3 linked regions of the Macaca fascicularis genome follow. The protein of the gene in region 2 interacts with the protein of the main gene of each other region in a biochemical or structural test. Links are inferred from orthologs where the notes say so. Each region holds a gene or a part of one and is shown on either strand. Other genes may lie near its edges.

The links. The genes of interacting proteins can lie anywhere in the genome.
Region 1: the proteins of MAD2L1 (region 2) and REV3L form a complex in vitro, tested with the Homo sapiens proteins (2 studies listed by BioGRID). The link is inferred for Macaca fascicularis from reciprocal best matches to the Homo sapiens genes MAD2L1 and REV3L.
Region 3: the proteins of MAD2L1 (region 2) and UBD form a complex in vitro, tested with the Homo sapiens proteins (2 studies listed by BioGRID). The link is inferred for Macaca fascicularis from reciprocal best matches to the Homo sapiens genes MAD2L1 and UBD.

Annotation. Positions count from the first base shown.
Region 1 is NC_088378.1:15,534,046-15,537,729, forward strand, and holds the start of REV3L (DNA polymerase zeta catalytic subunit), read right to left. Parts: upstream 2,882-3,684; 5' UTR 2,603-2,881; coding exon 2,464-2,602; intron 2,340-2,463; exon of another isoform or gene 2,030-2,339; intron 1-2,029. UniProt on the Homo sapiens protein: Catalytic subunit of the DNA polymerase zeta complex, an error-prone polymerase specialized in translesion DNA synthesis (TLS). Lacks an intrinsic 3'-5' exonuclease activity and thus has no proofreading function.
Region 2 is NC_088379.1:125,170,011-125,173,759, reverse strand, and holds the start of MAD2L1 (mitotic spindle assembly checkpoint protein MAD2A), read left to right. Parts: upstream 1-1,507; 5' UTR 1,508-1,636; coding exon 1,637-1,709; intron 1,710-2,548; coding exon 2,549-2,695; intron 2,696-3,749. UniProt on the Homo sapiens protein: Component of the spindle-assembly checkpoint that prevents the onset of anaphase until all chromosomes are properly aligned at the metaphase plate.
Region 3 is NC_088378.1:143,645,767-143,649,515, reverse strand, and holds the start of UBD (ubiquitin D), read right to left. Parts: upstream 2,526-3,749; 5' UTR 2,495-2,525; coding exon 2,468-2,494; intron 1-2,467. UniProt on the Homo sapiens protein: Ubiquitin-like protein modifier which can be covalently attached to target proteins and subsequently leads to their degradation by the 26S proteasome, in a NUB1-dependent manner.

The DNA.
Region 1 (3,684 bases), on a different chromosome or scaffold from region 2:
AATATAAACTACGTTCATATCTTTGCATTATGTTTACATCTTTACTTTTAAACATATCTGTCTTCATTAAAAATTCTAGCATTCAGTTTTACTAAGTCAGACTGGCCTCTCTTTTAATATTAATAATTTTCACGTTTTATTTTATTGGACTAGTTTTCCGTGGGGAGATAATTCAAAAGCAGATAATTCTGCAGTTTTTGATTATGTTTAATTAATATTAATCTCACTGGGAGTTTCTGACGTACTAATAAAAATGCTGGCTTGGTTTATGAAAAGTGTAAACTCTAAATGTATGCCAATGACTTCAAATTTTTTCTTGTTGAAACAAACATTTTTGTTGCAAACTGTGAACTATATAGCAAATTCAATTTGATAATCCTTAATTTAAAATTTGACTTTCTCTGTATCAAGTTTTATGTCTTTCAATGTACATATAAAAAGTGTCACTTTTTAATTCATTTAAAATATAAATTTCAAAGTATATACCAAAAAAAAAAAAAAAAAAAACCACACAGTGGGGGTTTTTAGTCTTTGGTTTTTATGGGTTTTTTTTTTTTTTTTTTTTTTTTTTAATAAGGGGCTGGTAATCTATTGTGGGATGCCCATGAAGGATGAAATAGGAAACAGTTAATGTGTCTTTTTAAAAATATTCAGAAAAACAAAAGCATATAATATTCTATATTTTTAAGGAGCAATTTCTCACGTTATAGAATTAGTTAGCTTATAGTGAAACTCATTTATTTCCACAAACGAAACTTTCCTATGAAACAAAGCTTGACTATCTCTCAGGTAAACATATTTAATGACTTGTGTGGAGGAGAAAAAATTATGTGTGGAAAAGTAATTCAAACAATACAAGCTGTAATACACAGAAATGCCACAGTATATCCTACTAGCATGTCCCTTTATGATTCGGAAATCTGGCTGAACAGAGCCATATCAACTTCACTATCTTATCCTTCCTCTGCATCTGAAGTGAGAACAGAGCATTACAGTGAAATTCCAATTGGAAACAAAGACAGCACCACTACATCTAAAAGGGCAGAAAACCTATTTTATAGAACACTTCATCTCCTCGATTTCCCAGCCTCCAAAGTTTCAAGTGTTACACTTTCAACACGTTAAAAGCACTCAAATTCCCCATCTTTCAAGGTTCATATCAAAATCATATTCACTAGTTTAAAAAGGAATATGCTACCAAATCTCACGACATTGACATTTTAACAAAGAGAATTCACATTAAAAGATAACAGCTTAGAATGAGTGCTTGTGTTTGGGAAAGCGCTATTATCTTGGTAGTCCACAGAAACTGACTGTAGTAACAAGATGAATGGTGATGAGGGCAAGGAGCATCAAGTGGGAAATGCTATCTAAAATCCCATAGGGCAATTCATAGCTAGAGGGAAGAGCATCCTTTCCTAGGAGGCATTATTTCCTAGAACTCCATTATTTCATGGAAGCAGTTCAAAGCATACAAAAAAGCAAAACCATTTTAAAACACCTAGTAAATTGGGCCTCTATCTTTTTTATATTATCATAAACCCCAAGAGTTTTTGAGAACGTACCTTCTGCACTGCTGTCTCTCCCCTTCTCACCCCTGCTTCAACATAGTTGTGTTTAAAAAATATACCTGTACTTAAAACGCAAGCCTACAGCCCAGTCTAGGAGCCTTTCAAAATGTCTGTGCTGCTGAGTCGGGCTGTGGTTCCTAATAAATTCACCCCGTTAAGTGTGATATTTTACGTTGGGCAACATAAACACGCATTTCCTACTTTCATGGATGAACATTTCCTGAAAGCATTGCACCTGAGGATGCTGCCCTGTCCCCAGACGCTCTGGCACTAAACTCTAAGGAATCAGACCTGCACTCACAGCAGAGTCACACGGTCACCCCAGTGAGAAAGATTATCTGGCCCCAGGCGCCACTCTCTTCGGCCCACTGCATCTCCGGAAGGGGCAGAGGAGAGCGAGGGTGAAAAGAGGCCATGGGGAGCGACTGACAACAAGGCTGACACTTCCCCGTTTCCAGAAAGCGGCACTTCAGGGACACAAGGGATGCCCGGGGTCCCACTAGCGACCGACCTCAGAGCGGACCCTACGAACCCGTCCACCGATGGGCATGGCGCGGCCACCTGGCCCGCCGTCCGGGGCGCTCGCGGCTTTCGCTCCCCCGGCTCGCGCCCTGGAGTGCGGCTCCCGCTCCCGGCCGCCACACGCCGTGTAAACACTCGGCGCTCGCCGCCTCCCTGCCCGGGGGTGGGGGCGCCGCGCAGCGCTCGCGCGGACCCACATTTTTGCGCCTCTTGTCACGCGCGAGAGAAAAGGCGAGGAGGGCGTAGGAGAGGGAAGACGCGGCAGCGATCCACGGAGACGGCCGGCGCCGGCGGCGTGCGCGCGTGTGCGCGGCGGGGAGGGCGGCCCCGGCGCCCCGCCGACTCCCGCTCCCGCCCCGCGCCCGCTTACCTGCCGGGGTCGCTCCGAAGATTCGCACCACCGGCACCTTCTTGACAGGGGCCTGGGTGAGGGGGGATTGGCAGGTATCCAGCCCCTGCAGCGGGCTGGCCATGTAGTAGTCTGCAGTCACTATCCTCACTGAAAACATGTTAGCCGCCGCCGCCACTGCCTCCCTTCACTGGCGACCCGGCAGCGGCAGCAGCAGCGGCGGCGGCTCCCTCCGCAGCGGCGGCGCCCCCTCCCCTTCTCGGCTCGGCCCCCTCCCCTCACACACAGACACCTCGAGGAGCGGCGGCGGGCGGGGCGGTGTAGGCGCTGCTGCCGCCGCCTCCTCAGGAGCACCCGGCAAGAGGCCGCAGGAGAGAAGCCCTCGAGCTTTCGTCGGTGCTGGTGCTGCCGCCACTGCTGCGGCCGCCGGGAATCACACGGGCTCCTCGGTCCCAGGCTGCAGCTCTTGTTGCCATGATGATGATGTCACGGACGCAACCACTGGGGGAGGGGAAAGGGGGGTGTGTGTGGCGAAGGGAGGGCTGCGAGTAGTGCGGGGGAGGGGGCTCGGCGGGAAAGGAAGGGAGCGGGCGGGCGCCCGGGCGGAACACGGAGGGCGGGGGCCGAGAAGGTGCTTTCTCCCCCGCCCCCGGGGCACGCAGTGAGGGAGGCGGCCGGCGGCCGACAGGGCCCGCGCGGGATCGATGACTCGGCCGGCGGGCACGGTCACCTGGGTGAGGGGCAGCGGAAGGGGCGGCAGAGCACCGATCTCATGGATGGGCTTCGAGGGGCTTGCGGGAGGGGTGCGCCAGTGTTCGGGGCCGTTTTGGCGGCTATGCGGGATTGGCAGGAGCTGCGGTGCTCACAATTGCCTAGCCGACCGCCATTTCACATCCAGCAGAGGAGGCGGGGGCAGCCGCGGAGACGGTTTTTCACAAGGTAAGAAAATCCGTCCGCGGGAGGAGGGAGGCGAGGCGCAGATCTCGTGCCGCTGCGGCCTCGCGGGAGGGAAGGGCGGGCTGGCGGGCGGGCGGCGGAACGGGAGGGGCCGGGTGCGGAGGCAGCCGGCCCTTCTCAGGTAACGCCGCGGCTCCGCGCGTGGCCCGGGGGCGGTGCGAAAGGTGGGGGCGCGCGGGCGCGGGCTTCGGCCTATAAAAGGGCCGCCCTGGCGCTCCCCCTTCCCGAACGTGCCGCGCGAGCCGCCGTGCTCCCTCCTCCCTGCTGCTGCAGTGTCTGCGCGGG
Region 2 (3,749 bases):
AGAGATGAAAGGATTTAAGGAAAATTTACTGGGTCAAGTCAGCCTGCAACCTATCACACCCATCCCTTACTCTTCAAACTGATCAAAACATGATATACAACACTGTACAGGCAGAACTCTAAGCCAGTTCCCCACATTCCTGGCCCCTAGAGAGCACACCTACATAATCCCCTCCCCGGAGTCTGGGTAGGAAAACTACAAATATGAGCAGATATCACTTCTGGGACTAGGTTCATCAAAAGGGAGATGTGACTGGGTCTGACTTAATCAGGTGAGCCTTTAAAAGGGGCTGGGGTCTCCCCGAAATCACAGAGATGGGAAGTGTGAGAAGGCTTGTGGAAGGGCTAGCTGACAAACATAGCTGGCCTCTGGCCAACAGCTGGCGAGACAAAATGGACCTCAGTCCAACAACCCCAAGGAAATTCTGCCAGAGGGCTTAGAAGGACCCCAAACCTCAGATGAGATCCCACTTGCAGACCCTTCGATTTCAACCTTGTGTGACTGAGCAAAGCAGTCAACAATGCCACGTCCAGACTTCTGACCTACAGGACTGAGAAAACGAATAGGTGTTGTTTTGAAGTCACTGATGTGTGGTAATTCGTTATGCAGCAAACGGAAAACTAACAACACTCAAGTATTTCTCTTATAATGTCTGGCAGATATGAGAGTTTTTCAGGCGTCGTTTTACAAATATCTTCCTAGCTGCTTTAAGAATAAACTTCTTTCAAAATGGACATGAACATTAATTGTGCAATATGTCCTTAATAATTCTCACCCTTTTCAATGAAAAGTCATTGAGTTTGGTGAGTCAAGATTCATTGAAAAATTCTTCAATGTTGATGGGCCTCTTTGGTGAGGTGACCTTATTCCTGTCCTGCCCCCTAAGGGTGGGCAGGGTGGACAGAACGCAGCCTGGACTTCCGGATGCAGCCCCCTACCGCCCGACTTGCCTACCCCGCTGGCCTCGGAGGGGTGGCCCTAAGCCCAGGACAGACGTGGACAAAGGGCAGAAAAAAGGATGCAGTTCTCTTTAATCCCTAACCCAATTTCTCGGGAAAAGCCGCGCTCCCACACAGAAGGCGAACCCTCTAAAGCTGTGGGTTGGCTGCTGTGCACGTAGTCGCTTTAGGAATTCCCAAAGCATCTAGCGGAAGTTTAGATCTTTCACTAGGGGTCACATGGGCCAGTACGGGCGCAGCTGGCAAACCGTTCCTTTCAGTTTGAAAGTATCTTGAAACTCGGAAACTGTGCTCCTTGGTCTTTCAGTTCATAAGCCTAGAGAGCGGCTACTGAAATTGGAATCGACATCTTCTTCCCTCGGCCCCAACTAGTAAACCACGACCAGAAGACACAGCCTAACCTAAACCTACCGGAGTGTCACAACCGGCAAGCGCGAGCAGGTCCACCAACTCCGCCTGCGCAAACCGGCCGTTCCCGCGAGATCGCAGGAAGGCGGAGAGAAAGGGCAGGGCCCCGCCGCGTGGGGCGGGGCTTAGAGGCTCGTCGCGCCTGCGCAGAGGACCGGACAACGCGCTGCGTCGTTACTTTTGAAACGCTTGGCGGGGAAGTGCTGTGGGAGCCGCTGTGGTTGCTGTCCGCCGAGTGCAAGTGCGTGCCTTTGTTTGTGTCCCTGGCCATGGCGCTGCAGCTCTCCCGGGAGCAGGGAATCACCCTGCGCGGGAGCGCTGAAATCGTGGCCGAGTTCTTCTGTAAGTCCTCGCGCCGGCCATTATATTGGGGGGAACTGAGTCGTGGCGGCTCAGTAGGCCCACAGCTCGGCCTCTGAGACCGGAGAAGTAATCTGGGAGCGGCGGCTGCAGGCTGTTCCTCCTGACGCGTTGCTATAACGTGGAGCTGCAAGCCTGCGTGCTGCTGGGGCCTACCTCGCGGCGTAGCCTCTTCCGGAGCGTTTCTTCCTTTAAGTGCAGATCCGTCCCACCTCCCACCCCTTACTTTCCGATACAGGACACAGCGTGACTGGGGTGGGTCCCAGTGTGGGTGTGTATGTGTGTGTTTTTTTTAACTGCGAGAGCACCCTCACCCTCCCACTCTAAGTGATTATTAGGCATGAGGCTGGCGGTAAACAAGATTTTGGGAACCCTTGTTCTCGAACAGGCCAGCTGCACGTTGTAAAGGAACCTGGCAGGATTTGGGAGGGAAAGGGGAAGATACAGGCTTGTCTGGAGCAAAGTGACTATTCAGTCAGTTGCTGACTCGAATGCAACAGCCTATTTTGACATCCTCTAGCCTCATAATCTGAATTTGGACTTGGATTACAATGAGGTGAAATTTGGCAATAGTAGGTTGATACACTTTGGCTTTTTTTTTCCTTGGCACGTGAAAACAATTATCTTTTTTTACTTAGATACAAGACTTTTAAGGATTTTTAATGCCACTTTGTACCTACTCTGCTTTCAGCAAGATACACGTGTGTTCAGTCATTTATAGCTGTATAGCCTAATGAAAATATAGCCACATCCAAATATATTTTATTTTCCAGAGTTATGCAGTGATAATGAATTTTCTGTAACATTTCTTTTGCTTGCAGCATTCGGCATCAACAGCATTTTATATCAGCGTGGCATATATCCATCTGAAACTTTTACTCGAGTGCAGAAATACGGACTCACCTTGCTTGTAACTACTGATCTTGAGCTCATAAAATACCTAAATAATGTGGTGGAACAACTAAAAGGTATTTAATCATTGGAAGTAATTTGAGTCTTGCAGATTTTTTAGCATCTCAAGTGGTCATTTTTCCGCTCTGCAAATAGAAGTGTACTCACATCTCAAATATATTTTAAGTTGAGAGGAAGCAAATAATATATAAAATGGAAGAAATTCACTCTTCCCCCACTACATTGTGAGTGGGCTGAATATTTTGATGTAAGAAATCTGATATGGCTGAAAAATAGTCTTCATCAACTCCCTTAGAAGTGGCTTTCGCAGTTAATGTGGCCAAATGGAACAGGTTGGAATTTTACATAATTATAACGGTGTTCACTATCTGAGAAAATATACACTACATATTCTCAATATAATGTATTTTCTGTAACTAATTAGTTTTCTGTAGTCTAATGTTATCATTAGATTAATATCAAGGAAATTGGATTCAACCAGATAAACTTCAAAAAAAGAAAAAGATTAGCTGCTAAATGACAGAACACTCACAGTTTTTTTGTTTGTTTGTTTTGTTTTTCACATATTTCTGTTTGTCGTTTTCAAAAATTCTGCCGGTGATTCAGTAAGCCTTTTCTGTCTGAACGTTCGTTTTTCTTTAGTTCGAGAAATTGCTGTATTACCTGTCGGGTGAATACTTGTTCTTCATCTATTTCTTTTTCCTTTCTAGAATTCCTGTTAGTTTCTCTTTCATGTTACCCTCCACTTAGGATTCTCATTTCTAATTTTTCAAATGTTTCTCCCATTTGATCTTCTAAAATTTTTGAAAGTACTACAGTGGGCATCTTTTTTTTTTTTTTTTTTTTTTTAGAAATTATTTCTTTTGTTGTTGACCAGAAATGTGTCTTTGTTTTGCCATTTTTATTGCATTTTTACTAACCTATTTTTAATATGCCCTTCCGATAATGGCCATGTGAACTTTTTTAGCTTGATAACTCTCTTTCAACCTATACTATCCTCTAGATAAACTGTTAACATTGCCTTGCCTTTTATGTGTACAGGAGTGGAATGCCTCAACAACCTGTGGATGTTACGTCTTAAATTGACAGGCAAGGGAAGATAGCCCTGTT
Region 3 (3,749 bases), on a different chromosome or scaffold from region 2:
AATGGCTCCCACCCTTCCGCTATCTATCTGGTCTCCTAGCTCCTGTTCAGTAGCCAGTGTCCCTCTCTTTCTTGGAACTTCTCCTTTGGAATTACCAAGTTGCAACACAAATAAGAAAATTTGTCCCATTCCTTTATAATCACACCTTTTTTTCAATCTTGAGAATGAAAAATAAAATCCTGAGCCCCCAACCAATTGAACGGACCCTCTCTTGCTCAGGGGGACCCTAGAGAAATTTTAAGAACTTAGTCATTGGGCCAAGGGCAGTGGCTTATACCTGTAATCCAAGAACTTTGGGAAGCTGAGGCAAGCTGATCACTTGAGGCTGGGAGTTCGAGACCAGCCTGGCCAACTTGGTGAAACCTCATCTCTACTAAAAATACAAAAATTAACCAGGCGTGGTGGTGAGTCCCTGTAATCCCAGCTACTCAGGAGGCTGAGGCATGAGAATCATTTGAACCCAGACGGCAGAGGTTGCAGTAAGTGGAGATGGCACCACTGCACTCCAGCTGGGGCAACAGAGTGAGACTCTGTCTCAAAAAGATAAATAAATAAAATACCTCAGTCATGATGAAACAGGAGGCTGGACATGCCTCATTATATCTTCTCCCTTTTGCAGTTTAGACACAACTGACTAGCAACGTTAGAGATTATAAGACTGAAAGAATGGATTATTGGTGGCAATAAGATTTTTGTAGCAAATTTTAAACAAGACCTAAGGCTATAATAGGCAAGAGTTAAGTCATGCATCCCTACACTTAAAGAATAAACTATGTTCTAACTGCCACAAAATATTTTTCTTTTTTCTGTAGCAGCTAAACAAGCACTGGCCTCGAGAGGAACAATATTAAAACAATTACAGTTCATCCACAGGCTAACTGACCCCCTGTTCCTCAAGCCATAACTACAGTTTTAATTGGACAAATGACTGATTTCAGTAATTTTCTCCTGATAAGAGACCACTGACCATGGACTGGTTCTGGCTAGTCTACAGAAGCTGCACATTTGAATGCCTTTGTGTCCCTGCTTCACCTTTTCATGTATAAGGCCTAACTGTAATGCAATTAAATGTTAAGTCTCCACCTCAGAGTGACCATGGGTGGTATATAACATGCAAGCTCATTCAACATGCATGCATTAGGACTCCCTTCATGAATATTCATTGCCTCTGCCATAACCTATTGGATATGTATACTTAGCAAACCCCTTCAGCATAAATTCCTGTGTCACTTTCCTCCTACAAAGCTTGCTTTTGGTTTTCAACCAGAAGCCGAGCTTCTCAGCTTGTCAGAATGGCTACCTTGCAGACTATAACCCTTCATAAGAAATGAAGTCTCCTTTCTAAATTTATAAATTGTGTGATTTTTTTTAGTTGACAATTTTTTATTTCGCTTTTCTGTGCATTTCAATAGATGTAAAAAACATACCTTTATTCATCTCGAGATGTAATTAAAGGTTTTCCACCTTATTTACCTGCCTCTCCTATCCAGATAAAGTTTGTCAAATGTCAAAAAAGTAAATACAGAGCTTCAAAAGATGTACACCAGACTCTAAAAACAACTGTCAAAGAGAATTTCTAAAATATGACAGCCTCATAAGATACAGCAATAGGATACCCTCTGTCAATACTTCAGAAGGAAATCCTGGGTAGGGCACATAATCACTGAACTGTTATTTTTTTTTCAAATCTCCCACTGCTTTACAATAATAACTTACATATTACAGTGACACTATGTTCAGTGTTTCTTGTTAATTTATATTTCTTGTATTTTTATATCTATCTAATATAGAATACGATCTCCTTTGATTAGACCAGGGCCTCACTCACAGAAGGTAGGGACTATGTCTAAGTCTTACTTCAATAGCTGGAAAACCCTAAAAGACTGGAAAACTCACTCCTAATGGCCACTTGAAAGCCTGAGAAGACCTCCCTCATACTCCATTCAGAAATATTTTCCCAATCTAGATATTGCAGACATTTCTTCACTGGAGGATCTGTGTTAAGCATTGCCTTAATTCCAGGTTCTCTCCATAGTGCATACTTTCTTATATAATGTAATGTGTTAGATCATTAACAACTTCAGATAAATGAGTTTTGTGAAGCTCTCCTTTGAGAGGAAAGAGAAGATTAAGTTTAAGAACCCTAAAAAATGTTTCCATAATTTCAAATCTCACCAGCCCTGTGGAACACAAAGCTCACCCCCACTTTTTTTTTCTACCATTTATCCCTAAGAGTAGCTAGTCCAATGTTTGATTAAAAAAAGAACACAGAAGCCAGATAACCAGCTTCTCTTCAGACAATTCCTCTTCCCATTCTGCAAATGTCGATGCCAGCCTCTTCCCCTTAAGGATGCCTGCCCAGCCACCCAGAGCCCTGAGTACTGTCCATCCCCCGTTTCTAAGATCTCTCCCCAACTCTTGAAAGTGCTTTTCCTTTCCCCATCCCCTTTATCAAATCCCAACTTACAGAGAGGCAGGAAGCATTGGGAGCCATCTTTGCAGTCAAGGGGCCAGAAACCAGAGACAGAAAAAGGATTTTAACTCCAGCTTATATACCAGCGTTGAATTGGAAATCCCCTCCTGGATTGCTGTGTTTGTCCAGCTTTGCTGTGCCCTTTGTTCTTGCATGCTCCCATGAATTTTCTTTCACTTTTGCTGGGCAGGAGTTAATAAACAAAGAATGCTTTCTGATTACGTACTTCTCCCCTCAGGCAATCTATTTGCAATCCTCATTCCAAACGGGATGGTCTTTCTGTGTTGAAAACTTTTCCCTGATTAAAAATCCACCTCTCCTCTCCCAGTCCTGACTTATTACTGTCCGTCCTGTGGCCTGGGCCCTCACTGGCATGAAGACCTGTAATGCTTGCTGAACCTCTCATGCTGCCTTTAAGAGCACCCCATTACTCAGGGGCCGTCCTAAGAACGAGAGCACCCAGGCAGGATACGGCAGTCAGCATTGTGTGGAGTGCTGTGACTGTGAGCCTGACATGGCTAGTCTGGCAGAAGGTGTAAAACATGCCTTAAGAAGACATAGGAGAAATAACCTCAGACTGAGAGGAGATACGAGTTAGAGTCCCAGGAGGGCCACTTGCTACATTACCTTGGGCAAATCCATTCATCTCCTTAGATGTTGGTTTCCCAGTCTATAAAATGAGATGACTGGAAAAGATTCCTAAGTGTCTTCCAGGCTCAGAAAACTTTGCTTGTAAAATTCCCTTTGCAAAATAACATTGGATTTCTGGGTCTTGAGCTCTCCAACATACGTCCTACCCTGTCCCAGAACCTGCAAACCAAATCCACTACTTGAGAACAATCCTAAGCCAACAATTAAATGCTGACTCCTCACTTCAACACACAAAGCAATCAACATCCACTCTCACACTGCGGGGCCTCTATTTCTCTACCTTTACTCCTGGATGCACCTCACCACTGTGATCTCAGACAAACCTAAAGGTGCCGCTCTCTCCCTCGCCCTTGAGACTTAGATGGAGACAAGAAAGGTGTGCCTGTCCCCGGGAAGTTTACTCCATCACTCTGATCCTCCTCGTATCCCAAATTAACTACTGCCCCCTCCCAAACTCTCAGGGCATTGCTATGGAACCAGTTTTTAAAAGCTTTTTTTTTTTTTGAAATGGAGTCTCACTTTGTTGCCCAGGCTGGAGTGCAATGGTGCGATCTCAGCTCACTGCAAGCTCCGCCTCCAGACTTCAAGTGATTCTCCTGCCTCAGCTTCCCGAGTAGCTGGGATA